Astyanax mexicanus: one gene and its partner. The protein of the gene in region 2 purifies or fractionates together with the protein of the main gene of each other region. This does not show direct contact. Links are inferred from orthologs where the notes say so. Each region holds a gene or a part of one and is shown on either strand. Other genes may lie near its edges. The genes, in order: cdk14 and ccny.

Region 1 (11,464 bases), on a different chromosome or scaffold from region 2:
TTTTAAGGTGGACCAAAACTCAGAAAATCAGAATTCAAAATAAATTTTATACAGCGCTTATAAAAAGTATATTTTTAAGGCGGAATTAAAAATTCAAATATGAAACATAAATTAAGATTCTGGCGTATAAAGCATCAGAATGTAACCCCTGCCACTTTTAAGGTGGAACAAAAAATTTGAATAAAAATAGCTCTGACTACTTACATGACACACATCCGATTCCCATACCTACACACACACACACACACACACACACACCCAACAGCAGATTGAGCAGTGTGTGAGTGTTGTGATCAGCGCTGTCTCTCCTGTGTAGAACACTAATTAAATAATCAATAGAGACTCAGAACAAAAGCACAGACCAAGCAGAACACACACACACACACACACACACACAGTGCGCACAGTCAGCAGTGTGTGTGTGTGTGTGAGAGAGCTGAGGTTAGGGCTACAGTACATGAATTAAATATGAACCACAATTCTATTACTGACTCCAGCAGTGTGATATTAAACACTCGTATCTTTTATTCACTGCATTTCTATTGTTCTGTTGTTTATTATTTTATTATTCAAAGATCAAAGGCAGTGAGTGCAGCCTGTCCTCATGGTTTACAGATCAGTTCTGCTCATGCTTTTCTACAGACCTTTATTCTGACCATGCTGATCTGATCCGACCTGCCTTCATTTACACAACAGGTCCACTCATACTATCTCAATATATATACAATCTCAATAAATATACACAATCTCATTTTATACAATCTCAATATATTCACACAATCTCAATATATACACACAATCTCAATATATACACACAATCTCAATATATACAATCTCAATATATATACACAATCTCAATATATATACACAATCTCAATATATATACAATCTCAATATATATACAATCTCAATATATATACACAATCTCAATATATATACAATCTCAATATATATACAATCTCTATATATATACAATCTCAATATATATACAATCTCAATATATACAATCTCAATATATATACAATCTCTATATATATACAATCTCAATATATACACACAATCTCAATATATACACACAATCTCAATATATATACACAATCTCAATATATATACACAATCTCAATATATATACAATCTCAATATATATATACAATCTCAATATATATACACAATCTCAATATATATACAATCTCAATATATATACAATCTCTATATATATACAATCTCAATATATACAATCTCAATATATACAATCTCAATATATATACAATCTCAATATATATACAATCTCAATATATACAATCTCAATATATACACAATCTCAATATATACACACAATCTCAATACATACAATCTCAATATATACACACAATCTCAATATATACACACAATCTCAATATATACAATTTCTATATATACAATTTCTATATATACAATCTCAATATATATACAATCTCAATATATATACACAATCTCAATATATATACAATCTCAATATATATACACAATCTCAATATATACAATCTCAATATATATACACAATCTCAATATATACAATCTCAATATATACACAATCTCAATATATATACACAATCTCAATATATATACAATCTCAATATATATACAATCTCAATATATACACACAATCTCAATATATACAATCTCAATATATATACACAATCTCAATATATATACAATCTCAATATATACAATCTCAATATATATACACAATCTCAATATATATACAATCTCAATATACATACACAATCTCAATATATATACAATCTCAATATATATACACAATCTCAATATATATACAATCTCAACATATACAATCTCAATATATATACAATCTCAATATATATACAATCTCAATATATATACAATCTCAATATATACAATCTCAATATATATACAATCTCAATATATAAACACAATCTCAATATATACAGTCTCAATATATAAACACAATCTCAATATATATACACAATCTCAATATATATACAATCTCAATATATATACACAATCTCAATATATATACACAATCTCAATATATATACAATCTCAATATATATACAATCTCAATATATATACAATCTCAATATATACAATCTCAATATATATACAATCTCAATATATACAATCTCAATATATATACAATCTCAATATATATACAATCTCAATATACACACACAATCTCAATATATACAATCTCTATATATACAATCTCAATATATGCACACAATCTCAATATATACAATCTCAATATATATACAATATAAATAAAATCCATTAACGATTCTGATGTGCCTGCTGGTACTAGTGAACCTGGAGATTCAATTTCACTAACTGCATTCAGCTCTACAGCAGCTCTACATCAGCTCTACTCTAGCTTTACAGTAGATATTCTGTAGCTCTACAGCAGCTGTACTCCACACCTACAGCGCCTGTCAGCTTAATTACAGCTCTCCTGTATCTCTATAGCAGATCTTCTGTAGCCCTACATCAGCTCTACGACCGCTCTACTTCAGCTCTACTGTAACTTTACATCAGCTCTACATCAGCTTTACTACAGCTCTACTGTAGCAGTTCTCCAGCTCTATAGCAGCTCTACTGTAGTGTTACTCCAGATTTATATCAGCTCTACATCAGCTCTATTGTAGCTCTACATCAGCTTTAATATAGCTCTACTCCAGATCTACATCAGTTCTACTGTAGCTCTACAGCAGCTCTGTTTCAGCTCAACTGTACTGTTACTCCAGATTTATATCAGCTCCACATCAGCTCTATTGTAGCTCTACATCAGCTTTAATATAGCTCTACTCCAGATCTTCATCAGTTCTACTGTAGCTCTACAGCAGCTCTGTTTCAGCTCTACTGTAGCTCTACTCCAGCTCTATGCTAGTTCTTCCTCTGCTGTAGCTCTACAGCAGCTGTGCTCCAGCTTTCCAGCAGCTCAATGGCAGACCTACTGTGACTCTACAGCATTTCTTTGGCAGCTTTAAAGCAGCTCTACTCCATCTCTACAGTAGCTCTACATCAGCTTTAAAGCAGCTCTACATCAGACTTAAAGCAGCGCTACATCAGCTTTAAATCAGCTCTACATTAGCTCTACATCAACTCTATGACAGCTCTACATCAGCTCTTTTAAGGCTCTTCAGATGTTCAGCAGCTCTACAGTGGCCTCGCTACAGCTCGCTACAGCAGTTCTACATTACTGCTATGGCAGCTCTACTGTAGTTCTACACCAGCTCTATTGCAGCTCTAATGAAGCACCGAAACTACTTCACTGCAGCTTTAAAGCAGCTCTTCAACTGCTCCGCAGTAACTCTACAGCAGCTCTCATGCTGTACACATCAGTATTAGGCTAAAACATTTACCAGATTATTATCCAACATCTGACCTCAGTAATGCTCTGGCTCTTGGTCAGAGGGGTTATTTGCATATTGCAGCCTTGTGTGTTATGTATGTCACAAGATCAATAACAGTAACGATTAAAGGGACGAGTACACCGCTCGCACTGTGCAGAGGACCGTCAGTCACTCCACCCGCCACCTCACCCGCCACCTCCACCCTCAGCCCACGCTCCCTCAAACCAGCCAGCGTTTCCACTTACCTCATCAAAACCACCGTCCTCCTTCTTCAGAGCTACAGAGGAAAAAGAGAAGAGAGATCATCAGTTCCTCATTACAGAACATCAGTTCCTCCTTCAAAACTCTGACCCATCACAACACTGACCCATCAGAACACTGACCCAACAGAACACTGACCCAACAGAACACTGACCCATCAGAACACTGACCCAACAGAACACTGACCCAACAGAACACTGACCCATCAAAACACTGACCCACCAAAACACTGACCCATCAGAACACTGACCCATCAGAACACTGACCCAACAGAACACTGACCCATCAGAACACTGACCCATCAAAACACTGACCCAACAGAACACTGACCCATTAAAACACTGACCCATCAGAACACTGACCCATCAGAACACTGACCCATCAGAACACTGACCCAACAGAACACTGACCCATTAAAACACTGACACATCAAAACACTGACCCACCAAAACACTGACCCAGAAGAAAACTGACCCATTAAAACACTGACCCAACAGAACACTGACCCATCAGAACACTGACCCATCAGAACACTGACCCATCAGAACACTAACCCAACACAACACTGACCCAACAGAAAATTGACCCAACAGAAAACTGACCCATCAGAAAACTGACCCATCAGAACACTGACCCTTCAGAACACTGACCCAACAGAACATTGACACACAGAACACTGACCCAACAAAACACTGACCCATTAAAACACTGACCCAACAAAACACTGACCCAACAGAACACTGACCCACCAAAACACTGACCCATCAGAACACTGACCCATCAGAACACTGACCCATCAGAACATCTGATCCACTCACTGTACCAGCTCAACACTCACTAACACCTCATACGCCACCACCATGCTAATCACTGCTGTATCTGATCCACTCACTGTACCACCAGCTCAACACACACTAACACCTCATACACCACCACCATGCTAATCACTGCTGTATCTGATCCACTCACTGTACCACCAGCTCAACACACACTAACACCTCATACACCACCACCATGCTAATCACTGCTGTATCTGATCCACTCACTGTACCACCAGCTCAACACACACTAACACCTCATACACCACCACCATGCTAATAACTGCTGTATCTGATCCACTCACTGTACCACCAGCTCAACACACACTAACACCTCATACACCACCACCATGCTAATCAGTGCTAATCACTGCTGTATCTGATCCACTCACTGTACCAGGTCAACACTCACTAACACCTCATACACCACCACCATGCTAATCAGTGCTAATCACTGCTGTATCTGATCCACTCACTGTACCACCAGCTCAACACTCACTAACACATCATACACCACCACCATGCTAATCACTGCTAATCACTGCAGTGCTGAGAATAACCACACACCACCCAAATAATGTGTATAGTGTATAGTGTTTATATAGTGTGTAGTGTATATAGTGTGTGTGTGTTTATAGTGTGCAGTGTGTGTATAGTGTGTGTGTGCATTGTGTATAGTGTGTGTGTAGTGTATCATGTGTGTGTGTATAGTGTGTGTGTGTGTGTAGTGTGTGTGTGTAGTGTGTAGTGTATAGTGTGAGTGTGTATTGTGTATAGTGTTTATATAGTGTGTAGTGTATGTAGTGTGTGTGTGTGTGTGTGTATAGTGTGTAATGTATAGTGTGTAGTGCTTGTATAGTGTGTGTGAGTATAGTGTGTAGTGTATAGTGTGTAGTGTGTGTGTATAGCGTGTGTGTGTATTGTGTATAGTGTGTGTGTACTCACCGATGCGGCTGAAGCTGTCTGATAAAGTTCTCCGGAGCTTCTTCATCCTGCCGAGTTTCTCCGCGCGCTCACCGGAACCGGCGATGAAGTCACACATATCTCACGCTCATCCAGCGCGCGTGTGCGCGTGTGTTGTTTTAAAAACTGCTCGAGCTCCTCCGCGCGCGCGTGCGTGTGTCAAATCCAGATCCAGATGATGTGACCACCGCTGGACTCATCACTGCCCTCCCCCCCCCCACTACACACACACACTAATACACACACAGTAATACACACACACTAACCCCAACACACACACACACACAACACACACTGATGCACCAACACACACTGATACACACACACTCAGACAGACACTGAGAGAGAGATAAAGACTAAACCTCTCTCTCTCTATGTCTCTCTGCTGCGCTCTGATTGGCTACACAGGAGCACAGGAAACGTATTGTGGATAAGCTCCGCCCACACACTCTCAGCAGACACAAGAGAGAGTGAAAGAGAGAGGATGAGAGACTAAGTGTGTGTAGTGCATGTAGTTTGTCTGCAGTGTGTAGTGCACATGTAGTGTGTAGGTTGTGTAGTGCGTGCACAGTGTGTGTAGTGAATGTGCATTGTGCAGTGTATGTGCAGTATGTGCAGTGTGTGCAGGGTGTGTAGCGAGTGTGTGTGTAGTGTGTGTGTAGTGTGCGTGCACAGTGTGTGTAGTGAGTGTGTAGTGTGTGTGTGTGTGTGTGTGTAGTGTGTGTACTGTGTGCAGTGTGTGTGTAGTGTGTGTGTAGTGTGTGTGTAGTGTGTAGTGTGTGTGTAGTGTGTGTGTGGTGTGTAGTGTGTGTGTGTAGTGTGTGTGTGTGTGTGTGTGTACTGTGTGTGTAGTGTGTGTAGTGTGTAGGGTGTGTCAGTGCAGAGGGTGCAGCTGTTGCTGAATGTTTCCAGTTTTGCAGATGTTTAAACCGCAGCAGCTGAAATGAGCTGTAGTGAAAAACGGTACACCCGAATATTCACACACACACTCTAGTGAACGCTGACCTGCACACACACACACACACACACACACACACTACACACACACTACACACACACACACTACAAACACACACTACACACACCCACATTACACACACACTACACACCCTGCACACTCACTACACACACACACAAACACTACAAACACACACTACACACACACTACACACACACACACTACAAACACATACTACACACACCCACATTACACACTCACTACACACACTACACACAGACACACACAGCGGGTCTGGCCCCTGCCAATAGATTAGGACTCTCTGGATCAGATAATGAATAAACACGAGTCTGATGGATATATATTATTATGGGATGGTTTTAAATTATTATGGGATGGAGCTATATTATTATAGGATGTTTTTTATGGGATGGAGCTATATTATTATGGGATGGTTTTATGTAATAATAGGATGGTTTTAAATTATTATGGGATGGAGCTATATTATTATAGGATGTTTTTTTATTATGGGATGGTTTTATGTAATAATAGGATGGTTTTAAATTATTATGGGATGGAGCTATATTATTATCGGATGTTTTTTTATTATTGTTATTTTATTTTTATTATTGATGGTTTATATTATAGGATATATTTATTTTATGATAGGATGGATTTATATTATTATGGGATGGAGCTATATTATTATCGGATGTTTTTTTATTATGGGATGGTTTATATTATAGGATATATTTATTTTATGATAGGATGGATTTATATTATTATGGGATGGAGCTATATTATTATGGGATGGTTTTAAATTATTATGGGATGGAGCTATATTATTATCGGATGTTTTTTTTATTATGGGATGGTTTATATTATAGGATATATTTATTTTATGATAGGATGGATTTATATTATTATGGGATGGATTTTTTTATGGGATGGTTTTATGTCATGGGATAGATTTAAATTATTATGGGTTGGATTTATGTTATAAGATGGAGCTTGTTTTAGTATGAGATGGATTTATATTATGGGATGGGTTTATGTTATTATGGCATATATTTATCTTAATTATGGGATGGATTTATATAATGGAATGGTTTTATGTTATGGGATAGATTTATTTTAATTATGGGATGGATTTATATTATGGGATGGATTTATGTTATTATGGAATGGAGCTGGTTTTAGAATGGGATGGATTTATATTATTATGGGATGTGTTTATGTTATTATGGGATGGATTTATATTATTATGGTATAGATTTATATTATGGAATGGTTTTACGTTATTATGGGATGGAGCTGGTGTATGGTTTTATGTTATGATGGAATGGATTTATTGTATAATGGGAAGGAACTGGATTTAGTATGGGATGTGATTTTGTTATTATGGGATGGATTTATATTATTATGGTATAGATTTATATTATCGAATGGTTTTGTTATTATGGGATGGAGCTGAATTTGGTATGGGATAGTTTTATGTTATTATGGGATGGATTTATTGTATAATGGGATGGAGCTGGATTTAGTGTGGGATGGTTTTATGTTATTATGGGATGGATTTATTGTATAATGGGATGGAACTGGATTTAGTATGGGATGGTTTTATGTTATTATGGGATGGAGCTGGTGTTAGTATGGATAGCTGCTCCTGTGCTGGAGATGAAAGTGAAGGCCTGGAGGCGGAGCTGAATGCGGGTCAGGATGTGATTGGACTTCTACTCAGACTCAAACTCCAGTACTAATGTTCGGAGCAGGTCTGTGATGGGTGGAGCTCGGAGATGCTCCAGGGGAAGAAGGAGTCGAGATAACGAGGTAAAAGTAGAAGAACTTTATTAGGAATCGTTAAGAAGAGCACGGATACAGTGATTTAAAACAGCAGATCAAAAAAAAACGAATTACTAAATTTAACATTCAAAACCAACGACGTGTCAGAGAACCTTCAGAACCCAGAGCAGATAATAAACACTCCACTACCAGAGAATTTCCCATCATTCCGTTAATCAGGCTGGTGTATTGCGTCAGTGAGGATGGGGGGCGGAGTCAGGAGGAGCGCTGCGGCGAATCAGACAGATCTGTGATCAGATAGAGCTGAAGGAAGAGGAGGAGGAGGAGTTTGGATGCTCGTCTGCTGGAGAGGAGAACGTTCCTCAGCGTTCTCCCGCCGGTTCCCGGTTTACTCGTTCTCAAAACGACTGTACGGGTGATCAGAGTCCGGAATAAGACCTGGAACCAAAACACACCAGAGAAAAAACTGGATCAGGGGATGAGCAGAGGAAGAGCAAAGGAGGAGTTAAAGATGAGTTGAGGGAAAGCAGAGGAAGAGCTAAAGAGTAGTTGAGGAAGCGCTGAGGAAAAGCTAAGGATTAGTTGAAGACCTATGGAATAGTTAAAGATGAGTTGAGGGAAAGCAAAGGATGAGGTGAGGAGCAGAGGAAGAGCTAAGGATGAGTTGAGGGAAAGCAAAGGAGTAGTTGAGGAAGAGCTAAGCAGTATTTGAGGAAGAGTTAAGGAGTAGTAAAGGAAGAGCTAAAAAGTAAGTGAGGAAGAGCTGAGGGAAAGCCAAGGATTAGTTGAAGGGCTAAGGAAGTGTTAAAGATGAGTTTAGGAAAAGCAGAGGAAGAGCTAAAGATGAGTTTACAAAGAGAAGAGGACGAGCTAAGGATGAGTTGAGGAAAAGCAAAGGATATGTTAAAAAGCTAAGGAAGAGTTAAAGACGTGTTCAGGGAAAGAAAAGGAAGAGCTAAGGATGAGTTTACAAAGAGTAGAGGAAGAGCTAAGGATGAGTTGAGGGAAAGCTAAGGAGTAGTAAATGAAGAGCTAAAGAGTAGTAAATGAAGAGTTAAAGGGTAGTTGAGAAAGAGCTAAAAAGCAGAGGGAGAACTAAAGATGAGTTTACAAAGAGAAAAGGAAAAGCTAAGGATGAGTTGAGGAAAAGCAAAGGATATGTTAAAAAGCTAAAGAAGAGATAAAGGCGAGTTAAGGGAAAGCAAAGGAAGAGCTAAAGATGAGTCAAGAAAAGCTAAGGAAAAGCTAAGGAGGGAGAGCAGAGGGAGAGATAAGGATGAGTTTAGGAAGAGCTGTAGGATTCACACTATGTAAAGATGTCTGACCTTAGAAAAGGATTCAGTTTAACTGATCCGACTGATTGTATTGGTTTACTGTTCAGAATTAGTCTTAATAAACGATCTGTTTCAGCGACGTTTTACTAAAGTTCTGAACAAAATAAACCAAATAATCCTCTAAACAAACTCAAACACAACATTTTCTGCACAGAGAATACTAACGTAGAAAATGTAATATAATATTCACAAACAGTGACACCATATATAACGTAATACATGAAGGTTATTATCTCCTACATATGCTAAACTTAGCCAGGAATTATTGTGTATTATATTATTATAATAAAACAATTTCAACAATTTAACCTTAATCAGCAGTCAGAACCATGTTTTAGAATACACTGCCTACTTTCACTCCCACTGGGTTGTATTAGTTCAGCTCTGCTGCCCCCTGCTGGTGAGTGTGTGTAATTACACTGTTTAAAATAATCCACAGCATCTCAATCAGACTTTAACTAGACCCTCCAAAACCTTTGTTTACTTAATTAATCCATTCAGAGACAGTGAACTTGTTGTTTGTGTGCTTTGGGTCATTGTCCTGCTGCAGAACCCAAGTACTCTGGAGCTTGAGGGCAGTTCTTTAAGTGTTGTTCTGGGTTCTTTTGGGATCTCCTGGATGAGTTCTTCATGCCCTTTTTGAGTAATTTCGGTCGGCCGGTCACTCCTGGGAAGGTTCACCAGTGTTCCATGGTTTTTCTCCATTAGTGAATAATAGTGAATCACTGTGGTTCTCTGGAGTCTCAAAGCTTTAGAAATGATTTTATAATCTTTTCCAGACTGATACATGATCAATAACTTTGTTTTTTTTTCATCTTTTGTTGAGTTTCTTCAGATGGGGGTAATAATAATAATAATAATAATAATGTGAAATGTAAAATGATCTTTTATATGCTTCATGTTGTCAGACAGGTTCTATTATATAAGTGATTTATTGATTCTACAGGTCTGGAATCAGTGATCAGGTCTGGTTTTGGTTATTAGTGAAATTAAACTCAGGTTATATTTGTCAGATATTAAAGTTTGTTTGATAATCTGAAAAATGTAAGTATGATAAAAAGCCGGAGGTCAGGGTCTCTCTCTGAAGCTCATTAGCATTTCCTCCTGTCCCTCACAGGGGACAGTGAGGGTGTCTATTAATCACAGAGCTCAGTGCTCACAGTAATTAGCTCAGATGATTTATCATCCAGGACGCCCGGACGCCTGTCCTCTGACCTTTAACCCCGGGCAGTGAGGCATGGCGGTGGTGGGGGGGTGGGGTTATTAGTGATTATACGGTAGATGTTGGAGCTGCAGCAGATCAGCTAATATCACCGACTCTACACACACACACACACACACTTACTTGTTTAGTTTAGCTTTTGGTAATTAATGTTTTTTCCTTTAGATAAGGCTGCAGATCCAGGGGTTCATGGACAGAGGGAATTGTGGGTAAACTGAGATGCTGGTGCTGATGTTTGATCACTCAGGTTTGTGGAGGGTGGAGTGGTTGGATGCTGGTGTTTTCAGACGGTGCGTGCGGTAGGCAGTGCACACGGTAGGTGGTGCATGCGGTAGACGGTGTGTGGGGTAGACTATGATAGGTGGTGCATGAGGTAGATGGTGCGTGTGGTAGACTATGATAGGTGGTGCATGAGGTAGATGGTGCATGTGGTAGACTATGATAGGTGGTGCACGTGGTACACAGTGCGTGCGGTAGATGGTGCATGTGGTAGACTATGATAGGTGGTGTGTGCGGTAGAATGTGCGTGTGATAAGTGCATACCGAATACTGTTGTTTTCTGTTGTTTTTCTTGTCTGAAAACATGGTGCAGGGTGGGGCTTGCTGCAGAGTCATTATAGTTTGTAATTACAATTGAAGTCTTTACAGTTATTCACTAAAACACTAAAAGTGCTCTATTGACCATTTTCAATCTACGAGGATTACGGAATACGGAATACGCTGATGACATCATA
Region 2 (12,060 bases):
TTATTAACACACATTTGATTAGGCTATTAAGCTTACACTTATATTCAACTTTCATCTGTTTCTATTTAATTAGATATGGTAACTTATGTTATGACAGAGACTGGACAACACGGTAGTGGTCTCAGGTGTGCAGACCTGAGCAGGTAAGGTAAAATGTGCATTAAAACAGGAGCCATGCTCACAGGAAGGGAAAAATTGTCAGTTTAGTCTGCTACCAAAATAATCATTAGCTGAAGCACTAAATGACATATCAATTGCAGAAAATAGTCATATAGTCAAGTTAATAGTACAATACAACCACCAACCCAGAATTTCTCCCTGTTGCAGATGTGCTTTAAAGGGCACTTAGGCTGAGCTAATATCATCTCAAACCACTTATCATCTACTTGATCAAGGGTTGTAACACCATGTACCACCGAACTCTGCCAACATGCCATATAAACTACTTATACTACATATAAACTGCTGCATCGATCACAGTTAATCTTGGGTCACAACCTCACACCCACCCACGCTTGATATTACCTCTTGTTGATGAAGCATGAAGCTTGCTGATTGTTTGGGACATGATAACTTAACCCTGCAAAGGCCACCTAGCATTGATTTAATCCATATGTACGTGTCATCTAGATTATTTAGTGCATTATATCTACCTGGTGTCTGTGTATATTATTTAATGTGCCTTGTAGGCTACTTCAACTCAACAAACCACTCATCATCCTTGATATTTCCCTGTTGCTACTTAAGCTGGGATCACCTCATACCACCCCTCTCTCCTGATGTAACACAGTCTGGGGTCACAACCCTACAACCCTTGTTATTTTCCTGTTGCTATTTCTAATGTCATGTCCTTGCTATATAGGGCATTCAAACTTTGCTCATCATGTCATAAGGCTAATTTAACTAAATTAATCTAAAGTCACAACCCTACAACCACCTACCCCTGATATAGGCCCTTTTGTTAATGTACTGTATTGTTGATAGCTCAAGGCTTAATAGCTAAACGATCACTTTAAATACACAGTACATATTAGAGTTTCGTAAAACTGAAAAAGAAAAATGACATTGCAATATATATGCTATTTAAAAATACAGGAATTTCACTAGATTTTGGTAGGTGTCAGTGATCCAACATGTCATAATAATATTGAAGTCTGTGTAATAATGACTGTATTAAAACAAATGATATTCGGTTGATATAATTGTAAATCTGGTAGATATTGTGATTTCTCTCTTTTTGTATTAAGCAGCAAGAAAGTTTTAAAAATATATATAATTTACCATTACACAAAACATTGCATGTCCTGTGATCTGACTAGTGCAATATATTGTATATATTGTGCAGCTCTAATACTTATGCTACACAGTATACGATAATAGTACCATAAGCCACACAACTCTTGACATGCCTTGTAAACAGAACAGTCAAGGATAACAAACTTAAATTCACCTACTTATCTTACCCTAATTACCATCAACAAATACATCACAACAAATTTATATACGTACAGTACAGAAACTGCAGTCATGGCACCACAAACCACCCCACTGCTGATATGCCATTTATGCGACACATTTTGGGGTCTTTTTCTGTTTCTTATGTGCCAGCTTAGCTGCTTGGGCCATGATAACTAGCGTACATACATATATTTATATAAAAATAATGGATTTTTCCCTTGAAAGGGCACCACAAACCATCCATCACTGCTAACATGCTTTCTACACTGCATGCAACAAAGTCTGGCATCACAACCCCAAGGCCACCCAACCAACCTTGATATTATTCCTGTTTATATTCTACTCAATATACAGAATACATTTCTAATAAAAATCCCATTGCTACTCAGGATTTTTGCACTAGGGTGTGGAACTCTGAACTATCCATCACTGATAATATCCTTTCTAAACTACATACAGCAAAGGCTGTGGTCACAAAAAGGCCCTCCAGCCTGGATAGTGTGCATGACATGATTATACAGCATCCAATTTTTGGCAGGACATGTTATCTACCATGCATTGGTACTTATATTTTTTCCCAGTCTCTAATGTGTCATCAATTCTACTTCCAACATCACAAACCATACAGACTGCTTATTGATTTACCCATTGCCCATTGATTGCTTCAGGCATGACAGCTATATTATAACTGTACTGCTGCACACACATCACATACAGTATATGGCTAAGCTACTGAACCTTTTATATGTATGTAATTATAAAATAAAAAATAAAATGCTATCTATTGCTATGTAGGCTACATCAAACTAAACATTGCTTATTGGTTTACCAATTACTCATTGACTGCCTACGGCATGACAGCTATATATACACACTATAACTACACTGTGCACAAAACTACGTAGTATTTAGCTAAGCTACTCAGGCTGGGAGCACAACACCACAAAGCCTGGTATGTTCCTTGTTGTTAATGTGTCAACTAGGCTGCTTGGGGCATGATAAGTGGCCAATAAATATTTATATAAAACAAAACAGTTCCTGGTCAGAAAAGGTCACACACTCTAATATTTGGTTGGACTGCCTTTAGCTTTAATTACGCCACCCAAAGACTGTGGCATCATTTCCAGAAGCTTATGTAATGTCAAAGTTTGTTTTAGTACATAGGCAGACACAGTACCAGTCAAAGTTTGGATACCACTAAATTTTGGTGGTTTAACATTATTTTTTTTTCCTACATTGTTGATTAATACTAAAGTCATCAAAGTTATAGAGAAAACCAAATTACATTAAAGAATCCAAAATAGGTTTTATATTTTAGATTCTTAAAAGTAGGCATGTCTTGTTGAATGACAGCTTTGGCCATATTGGCTGTATTTTCTCAGTCAGCTTTATGAGGTAGAGTCAACTTGGAATATGCCCTACTTCAGATTCTAAACCAGTTTCTCTGATTGTTCTATTTATAGGTATATGTGTAAATACATTTAACATTGTTGTTTTATTCCATAAACTACTAACAGCATTTTCCCCAAATTCCAAATAAAATATTGTAATTTAGAGCATTTATTTGCAGAAAATGAGAAATGCCTGAAATAACAACAAAGATGCAGAGCTTTCAGACCCCAAATAATGCAAAGAAAACAAGTTTATATTCCTAAAATTCCAATATTTGGTGGATTAACCCTGTTTTTTTTTTCACAGTTTTCACAGTGTTCTCCTCCACCAGTCTTACACACTGCTTTTGGATAACTTTTATTCCACTCCTGGTGCAAGAATTTAAGCAGTTCGGCTTGTGATCCATCTTCCTCTTTATTATATATTACAGAGGTTTTCAATTTGTTAAAAGTCAAAGAAACTCATCATTTTAACTGGTCTCTTATTTATTTTTATTTTTTTATTGCTGTACTGTTACTGAAGGGTTAGTCAGGCAGTGTAGGTTAAATACAATAGAATTTAGGATCACATCATTCATACCCATATCAATGTTAAGTAAGTTAGCTAGGTTAGCTATTTAATCACCCTGCATCCAGCACAGTTTTGGTAACTGTAGTGTAAGTAACTAATAAGCGAGGGCTCAGCCCACACAGGTCCTACCGTCGATGTTCTCCCGGTCGCTGATGTGCTGGAGGTTGCAGCCCGTGTCCTCGCGGCTGAGCTCGGGCTCCGGGCGGTAGGGCTCCAGCCTGGAGTGGGCATTTCTCCGGAGCTTCGGGCTGGAGGACACGCAGCAGGAGGTCGTGTTGCCCATGGTGTATTTGTGGGCACCTCACCACCTTGCTAACTGTATCTCTGGTGTGGCTGTAGCTGTAGCCACCCACCCGAGCGAGGAACGGATGAACGGAGATACAGAGGGAGGAACAGGCGGAGAAACACTATTACCAGCTAGGCTACCTACCTAACGTTACCCACCCCGGACCCCCTTCCTCCACACCCTCAGCAGCTACTTTCCCAAGGCTCAGTTCCGCGGAGCGCAGTGTTTATAACCATATTAGCGCTAAACCAGCTAAACAAAACAGATAAATAAATACAGGCTAAAACAGCCTCCACCCGCCCGCCGTCCGGAGCCGCACAGCCCGCAAACACAGCCAGCCTCGCCCGCCTCAACCCTCCCACAGCCGGCCTCCGCCAACACAGCGCTACACACGCACTATACACCGCGTTAATCACTATATGACCACATTTACGAACCTCACAGCGACATGGCAGCCTAGCTAACCAAACCTAAACCTAACCCAGCGCTACTGTCGCTACCGCCGCTACCGCTGCAGCTGCTGTCAACTACATAGCCGAGCCTCAATCCCTGCAACATACTAACTAACGCGGAAGAAAGGTTCCGCTACGAGAGGGCGGGGGACCGGTTTCAGAGGGGCTCCACAGGGCTAAGCAGGGCTAAACAGGGGTTTCCTGCTTTATAATTATTATTTTTTAGCGTTTATAATTGTATTAATTTGTTGGACATTTATTCAATTAAATGCAATAAAGATGTTTAAGAAAAAGCAGGACAACTAATCCATTATGTTAAGATTACTTTTAGCTTTTAGAAAAGAGCTCAACCTCATTTAAAATGTCTTATACACTAGGCTAAAGAGCAGCAAAGTGTTGATCATACACAGGCTAACCATATAGCTAGCTACCTAATTTATTTAATTAAAAAAATAAACACAATTAAATAAAACAACAGCATGAAGAGATTATCAAAATAAATGAAATACATTTTATAAATAAAATAAAAAAGGTAGTAAACAAATGTTTTTTTTTTATATTATTTTAAAACATACAGTACCAGTCAAAAGTTCTCATTAATATTTGTTATTTATCTATATTATTTACTACATTGTAGATTCGTTTTAAAGACTATGAAGGAAAGTATGAAGGACATATATGCAGTAACACTTTTACTGCTCTTCATTTACACTTATCCATGCTGCTATAGCATGCATAATAACACTCTGGATTTTATGTTGCTGCTACTTCTCTACTCTTCTTTTATATATTGTGTATTTAACTTGATATCTGTTTTATTGTTATTTGATTTTATTCTATTTGATTTTATCTTATATTTCTCATATTTTAACAATAACTTTTTTTAGGTGTAACTGGACCGTGAGAATACAATTTTGTTCCACTTCATGTACCCCATGTGAAGTGAATGACAATATAGTCTCCTTGAAAAGTTAGATAGCAGACAAAAAAGCGTATTACACAGGCCACAGTATGTAGCTATTTAATTTATTGAAAAATAATAATAATAAAAAAGCTAGATTACAGTTCCTGCAGAAACTGAGTGTGATTGCTGTGCCAGAACACAAATGAATAGGTAGGTCAGGGGAACAGATTGCAAAACAAATTTAGTGGAAATGCATGAATGCATTTTTAGCAACAACTGACATTCATGCATTTCCATGGAATCTATTTTGCAATCTGTTCCCCTATCCTACATATTTGTTTGTGCTTGTCAGTTGGGAGCATCTGGATTTCGGAATGCAGGGGGTGAACGAAGATGGGCTGTTTGATAAAAGTTTGTACTCTTTATAATTTTTCAATACCCCATGTCAATTTCACACCAGATTTCTCCTTTAAAATGTAGCTCAACATGTTTTACAATACAGAGTAAACAAATATACATAATAAACATGTCAAAAAATAAAACAATAGCAAGAAAATGGTATTTTAAATAAATAAAAGAAATATAAAATGAAAAAGTAATAAACAGATGTGTTTTAATATTATTTTACAACATACAGCAACAGTCACCAATTTGGACACATTCTCATTAATACTTTTCCTTTATTTGTTTTGTTTAATACATTGTAGATTAATATTAAAGATAAATAATAATATAATATTATATTATTGAGGACTATGAAGTTAAGGGAGTTAAGTAGTGAACTCAGTGCTTAGCACCTCTAGAACTCCTTTAAGACAGCTGAAGAATCATTCCAGGGCCTACCTCATGAAGACGACTGAGAGAATTAGCCAAGAGTGGGCAAAGCTGGCATCAAAGTAAAAGGTGCTACTTTAAAGAAGTATAGATCTTATTTTGGCTTGTTTAACACTTTTTTATTTACTTCATGTGTTCCTTCATAGTTTTGACTTCTTTACTTTTAATCTACAATGCAGAAGAAGACAAAGACAAAAGAAAAAAAAAACATTTACTAGTATTGTCTCTCCAAATATGTATCAACATACAAGACACATATACATGTTCCTAAAAATATTATTCTCATTTTTGTTGTAAGGTGTTACAGTTCATTACAATATTGTAAATCTTGTTTTATATTTAAATTACTGTATGTCATTTAGAGTGGGAATCTCACAGGGCATTGTGTGTGTGTGTGTGTCACTGTATGTTGATTTTCAAATGTTTACATAATTTGAAACTGAAAACTATCCTATACATTGTATCCTAATTGCATGATGAATGGACAAATAGAAATGCACAAAAATGGCTTTGACAAAGAACGTCTTCCACTATAAGAGGACTATGCTATCATGGCATGTCATGATGTATGATGAAGCATGATGGTGATAAATATCCTATCTACAAGTCCTACTTTGACAGCAGTCCTAATGAGTATCATGTCTCCTTTCATACTGTAGGTAGCAATGTAAGGAATTATGTCACTGTAATATCTACCCACAGCTGTAAAGCTGTACACCACCATCCCAGTGGCAGACTAGATCTAATGCTACACCAATAAGAGTACCTGGGCAAACCAAACTACCTCTGTAACATGAACCTTACATTTGAGTCACTATAGAAAAGAACATCAGCTAAATATCATTGGCTAACACTCCCCCTAGTGTTAGAATGTCTAAACATCATTCTTCACCAATAATCATCCTTAGGCAAGAGTCCTAATACATACAGACAAAAATCAAAGTGAAATGGTAGTCAGTAGTTTGTATGAGACAATGTGGGGGACCTCCTTCTAGATCACTGAGCTCCTGAACATTCTGAAGTGTAACCTGGCAGTGTCAGACTGACCGAAATATAACAGGATTCAAGTTTTAACCAATAATTTTCCATGATTTTTTCATGACTTTGTCCATGCCTTCAAGGCATTTTTTATGACCAGACAGTTTTTAAAACATCAGTGCAGACATGGACAATAAAACCAAAAATCAACTAAAACTATAATTAAAACTGATTATAATAGGTCTAAACCAAATCAGATAAAATGTTGACACACAATCCTTAACAATAAAATGTGTGTCAGATTCCTGCAAGCTCCATTGTGTGGAGCTAAATTACTGAATTAACTCTGAGCTGACATATTTGTTAGCTCAAGTTAGATTTTCTCCATTTATAAACTGAAACACAAAGATTTGTAGACCAAAACTCCATGACTTTTCCAAATCTTTTTAGGTATTTTTATTTTTACAAAACTTATTCAGGCCTGGGCACTGCTATTTTCAAAATCCATGACTTTTACAGGGTTTTCATGACCATACAAACCCTGTATAATGTCCTAGAGATCTACTGTTCTACTGAAACATATAAAAACGGTTAGTAAAAACGCTCTTAGAACATCTAGAAAACTTGACAAATTGAATGTTCTAAGACCGCTATTTATGTTTATGTTAGCTAGATAGTTTTTGCCTGGATGAGCAGCTTTTTAAACCATTTTGAAAAGGAAAGACCAGCTTAGATCTGAAACCAGATGCCTGAACTGGCCCAAGAAATTTACATAATCTTACATGAACACTTTATATTAAAAGCAAAAAATAAAATAAATATAATACAATATACTACAATACAATGTAAACATTGCATTTTCTAAATCACTTATGCTAGGAGATTTTTTTTTTTTATATATTGTTAAGGCAAGATTTCCCAAACTCTTCCCTAATGCTTTTCACATTTTTATGGTTTCTCTGCACTAGCTTGAACACCTCACTCAGCACACAGGGGGGCTGTTAATTAGTTGGTTCAGGTGTTGAAGACAAAGCAAAAAAAAAAAAGTGCATACTGGAAGTCCTGCACTGAGGGAATTAAGAGGGATTGTCTTTAACAGTAACATTTATATAGAGCTATTGTAGCTGAAATGGCTCTACACTCAGAGAGTATGACGCATTAAGTTCCCTGCAGCTGCTAATCGTCTCACAGTCTCATGCTGTGCAGAATAGCCAGGGGGTTCCTGATGATACAGCTGGCTGGAGGGATGCAGTGTGTTGTCTAATGAGCATCTGCATTATCATGAGGCATTATTAGCCCTTTAGTCCAAACGCTCGGAGGGTTCTCAGAGCTGCATGCCAGGTAATGTGAAAAGATGCTGCAGCAGTGTTCATGCACATAATTAGGAACAATTAGGAAGGTGTTTTTTCCCATTTTCTCCCAATTTAGCTAGACCAATTTTCCCATCCATTCAGCTTCTACTCAACTATATATCACTGGTGATGGCACAGCACAAGGAGGGTGAAGACTAGCCTCCTCCGACACATGTGAAGTCACCCACTACCTCTTTTTGAACTGCTGCTGATGTAGCATTTCCGAGTAGCATCAGAGCGCTAACGCTCGGAGCAAAGAGCAGCGACTCGGTTCTAATACATCAGCTCACAGGCGCCTTGTGCTGATCAACATCCCCCTAGGAGTGATGAGGGGAAAGAACGCCATCTACCCACCCAGAGAGAGCAAGGCCAACTGTGCTCTCTCGGGGCTCTGGCAGCTGATGGCAAGCTGCATGACTGGGATTCAAAGCAGCGATCTCCCAATCATGGTGGATCATTATTATTATTAAAGGTTGACAGAACAAACCCCTGTTAACCATTAATACTGACTTTTATATACGTGAAAGTCGCATGAATTGCACAGCAGACAAAGCTGTTTTAAAGAAATTAAATTAATACAATTTAATGGTAAAAATATGTATTATATGTCATACTTACAATAAGTAGCTAATCAATCTGGCTTATCAAACATAGTGAGCATATAAGCATTTTTTTAAAGATCTAGCATAATTTGCAGTCTAAATTAGGTTCAGTATGCATGTTAGGAACATCATGCGTATTAATTACTCAGAAATCTGTCACAGTTATTAAAGTTGATTTATCAGTATTGAAAACATCTAAAAATTTTAAACATCACTCAGCTCGATCCAACTAAGCAGGCACGGGGACAAATAGTGAGGTTAACTCTTTAAAAATATAAGAAAGATTCTTTGAAAGCAGCAAAGACTGAAAAAGAGAAAGTTTCAAAAAGCATGAATTGGAAACACTGAAAAGAACCCGTCCTCATCCTCTCCTGCCCAAAACTACATTACTAGAATAAAAGCAATCATGCATTCTGAATAAAGATACTGTGGAGACCACTACTGACCACTTAACTGCTTCTATTGTGCATTGTTTGTTCTTGTTGATGGTTCAAAGTTGTCTTTGTATATGTGCATATTGTCCTCTTTAGGGTTTAATGGCAGTGTGCTTATAGAAGTGTTCTTTAATCTAAGGGTTCTTCTGGAGGCCCACTGGCCATTATGGTATGGTAAGTATTTTCCCTACTCCCAGCAAGGGCAGGACAATCAATATTAATGTACTATATCACAATAGAAACAAGTTTAAAATGATGATTTTTTTTTTAAATGATTTTTTAATATTTTGATATACATCAATTACAGCATCTGTCACTGATTTCAGAGGATTTATGGTAGAGAAATCCTTTCAATAAAATATTGTCGCTTTCAACCATTTACATTGATATTAGACATTGATATGATACTGATATGATGATATATGTTTTGTACATTGCAGGTAGTGGTTCCTCCTACAATAGCATTCAAAAGTGTGGACACACCTGTGTTTCTTTCTTTTTTATGATTTGTTACATTGTAAATTTAATATTGTAACTATCAATACAGGAACACATGCAAAATTATTCTGTAAACAAACCAGAATATGTTTTACACTTTAGATTCTTCTAAGTAGCATATTTATCTCTGAGGACAGATCTGCACACTCTTAGTATTTTAATCTCAGTGTCTTCATGAGGAAGAGTCACCTGGAATAGTTTTCTCAGTGTCTTGAAGGAAGGCGTTCCTAGAGGTGATGTCAATAGTTGCTCAGTTTATCAGGTTTTAATGTCTTTAATATTATTCTGCAATGTGGACAATAAATTAATTGAATAAAGAAAGAAAAACATTGAATAAAAAGGTGTATCCAAATTTTTGACTGGTACTGTATATAATCCATTTTTCATACTATACAGAAACATTTTTGTTATCAGTATAGATCAGATCATCTTAACGCAAGTCTAAGTGGAAGAAATACTTTTTTTACAAGTATGAGAACCTGGGCAGTGGTCACAAATTTCTAATCCTACAGATTTTTAATAATCTTTCTCTCTTATTCTTCTTAATTTTTTTATTTATAACTTCTTAAGATTTCTGTTGCTCATTTCAATCTTTAACTGAATAAAGAAACAAAAACAGATTTTTAGTGACTGGGATAGATCCTTCTAGCCCAGTTATTCCTAGACATTCCTCTGCAGTCTAGATACGGTCTTCAACTCCTGACATCCCTCTCTCAGCTAAAATACCCTATCATGCTCCTTCAACAAGTGATTAAAAACTGTCACAAATGATTGACAGCTGGGTTTACCCTACTGCTTAACCCTGGAACTGAAATCCCAGCCAGTCAGTGAAGAGACAGCCTGTATTTATATAATCTGAGATAATCTGAGATTAGAGATTTCTGCATGTAAACAAAGCTTGAGCTTTTATTTCAGATTACGTACCAAGTGGTGATCCCATCACTCTAGCCAGAGTGCTACACATCTACTGCCAGTGCAGCACTGCACTCTAGTGGTGAAAAAGAAATGCTGCATTCTGGTGACAAAAAAAAAAAAAAAAAAAAATGATGACAGTACCTGTGCCAGGTCTGAATCATCTTCAGCAGTAGTTATTTTCGCCTCATTGAGCTCAGAAGCTTTAACAGCAAGAGCATAAAACGTTATTGTTCTCAGTTATTCACTGCTTCTCCAAGGCTTTAATACCAAATGGAGCAGTTGACATCCAACTGCTTCCTTTTCAAGGTAAAGTTTCCTATTTATACTTCATAATTTACCTGTGACAGGCAGAGGAGCAAAGATAAAGGACTTCATTGTCAGATGCTTGGGAATAATATGACAAAATGCACAGTATATACAGACATGCAAATCATTTTTTGTTAACATTTTACAATAAGGGTACCTAATTAACAGTACTAATATATAAATTTATATAAATATAAATATTGATCATTTTAAATTATGTCTTAAGTAATTATTAATTGACATTATTATAAAATTGATCTACATTTAATGCTCAACAATGTATACACATATACACCACCCAGATGATAACCCAGAAGTGGACCAGATGTGGTTATTGGAACATGTATTGGATTGTATATTTTATATGCCATTGATTTACAGTAACAGTCACAAGTTTGGACACACCTTTTCATTCAATGTTTGTCTTTATTTCTTTATTTAATTGATTTTCTACATGATATATTAATATTAAAGAAATTATAGCAATTACGGGATACATTAAGGGAATTATGCAGTAAAAAAAAAAACTTTTAGTTTCTTTATTTTTATGATTTATTACATTGTTTGTTTAATATTGAAGACAATATTAAAGCTAAGCAGAAACACATGCATATTTACTTAGTAACAAAAAAGTGTAAAGTAAACCAGAATATGTTTTATATTTTAGATTCTTCTAAATAAGTATCACATTTATTTTTGAGGACAGATCTGCACACTCTTGGTATTTTAATCTCAGTGTCTTCATGAGGGATATAATAGTATAATATAATAGTTTTCTCAGCATGTTGAAGGAGTTCTGGGAGGTGCTGAACAATAGTTGCTGCTTTTCATGCTTCATGCTGTGAAGCTCCAGCTCATCCCAAATCACCATCTGTGGAGGACTAACACTTTTTTAAACTTTTTACTATATAATTTCCTTAATAGTTTTCATGTCTTTAATATTAACCTACAATGTAGAAAATAATTAAATAAAGAAAAACACTGCATGAGAAGGCGTGTCCAAACTTTTGACTGGTACTGAACGTCATCACAGTCACACAGCTGACTTTATTTATAGGGGTGTAAATGAATAGGACATT

Evidence for each region.
Region 1: the proteins of ccny (region 2) and cdk14 purify together in Homo sapiens (affinity purification with western blotting; 3 studies listed by BioGRID and IntAct, with this or other methods). This does not show direct contact. The link is inferred for Astyanax mexicanus from reciprocal best matches to the Homo sapiens genes CCNY and CDK14.

What each region holds. Positions count from the first base shown.
Region 1 is NC_064408.1:131,369,837-131,381,300, forward strand, and holds the start of cdk14 (cyclin-dependent kinase 14), read right to left. Parts: upstream 5,608-11,464; 5' UTR 5,493-5,607; coding exon 5,396-5,492; intron 3,649-5,395; coding exon 3,617-3,648; intron 1-3,616. Other genes in the region: pituitary tumor-transforming gene 1 protein-interacting protein, read right to left, coding at 8,563-8,612. UniProt on the Homo sapiens protein: Serine/threonine-protein kinase involved in the control of the eukaryotic cell cycle, whose activity is controlled by an associated cyclin.
Region 2 is NC_064413.1:47,904,562-47,916,621, forward strand, and holds the start of ccny (cyclin-Y), read right to left. Parts: upstream 4,264-12,060; 5' UTR 3,704-4,263; coding exon 3,550-3,703; intron 1-3,549. UniProt on the Homo sapiens protein: Positive regulatory subunit of the cyclin-dependent kinases CDK14/PFTK1 and CDK16.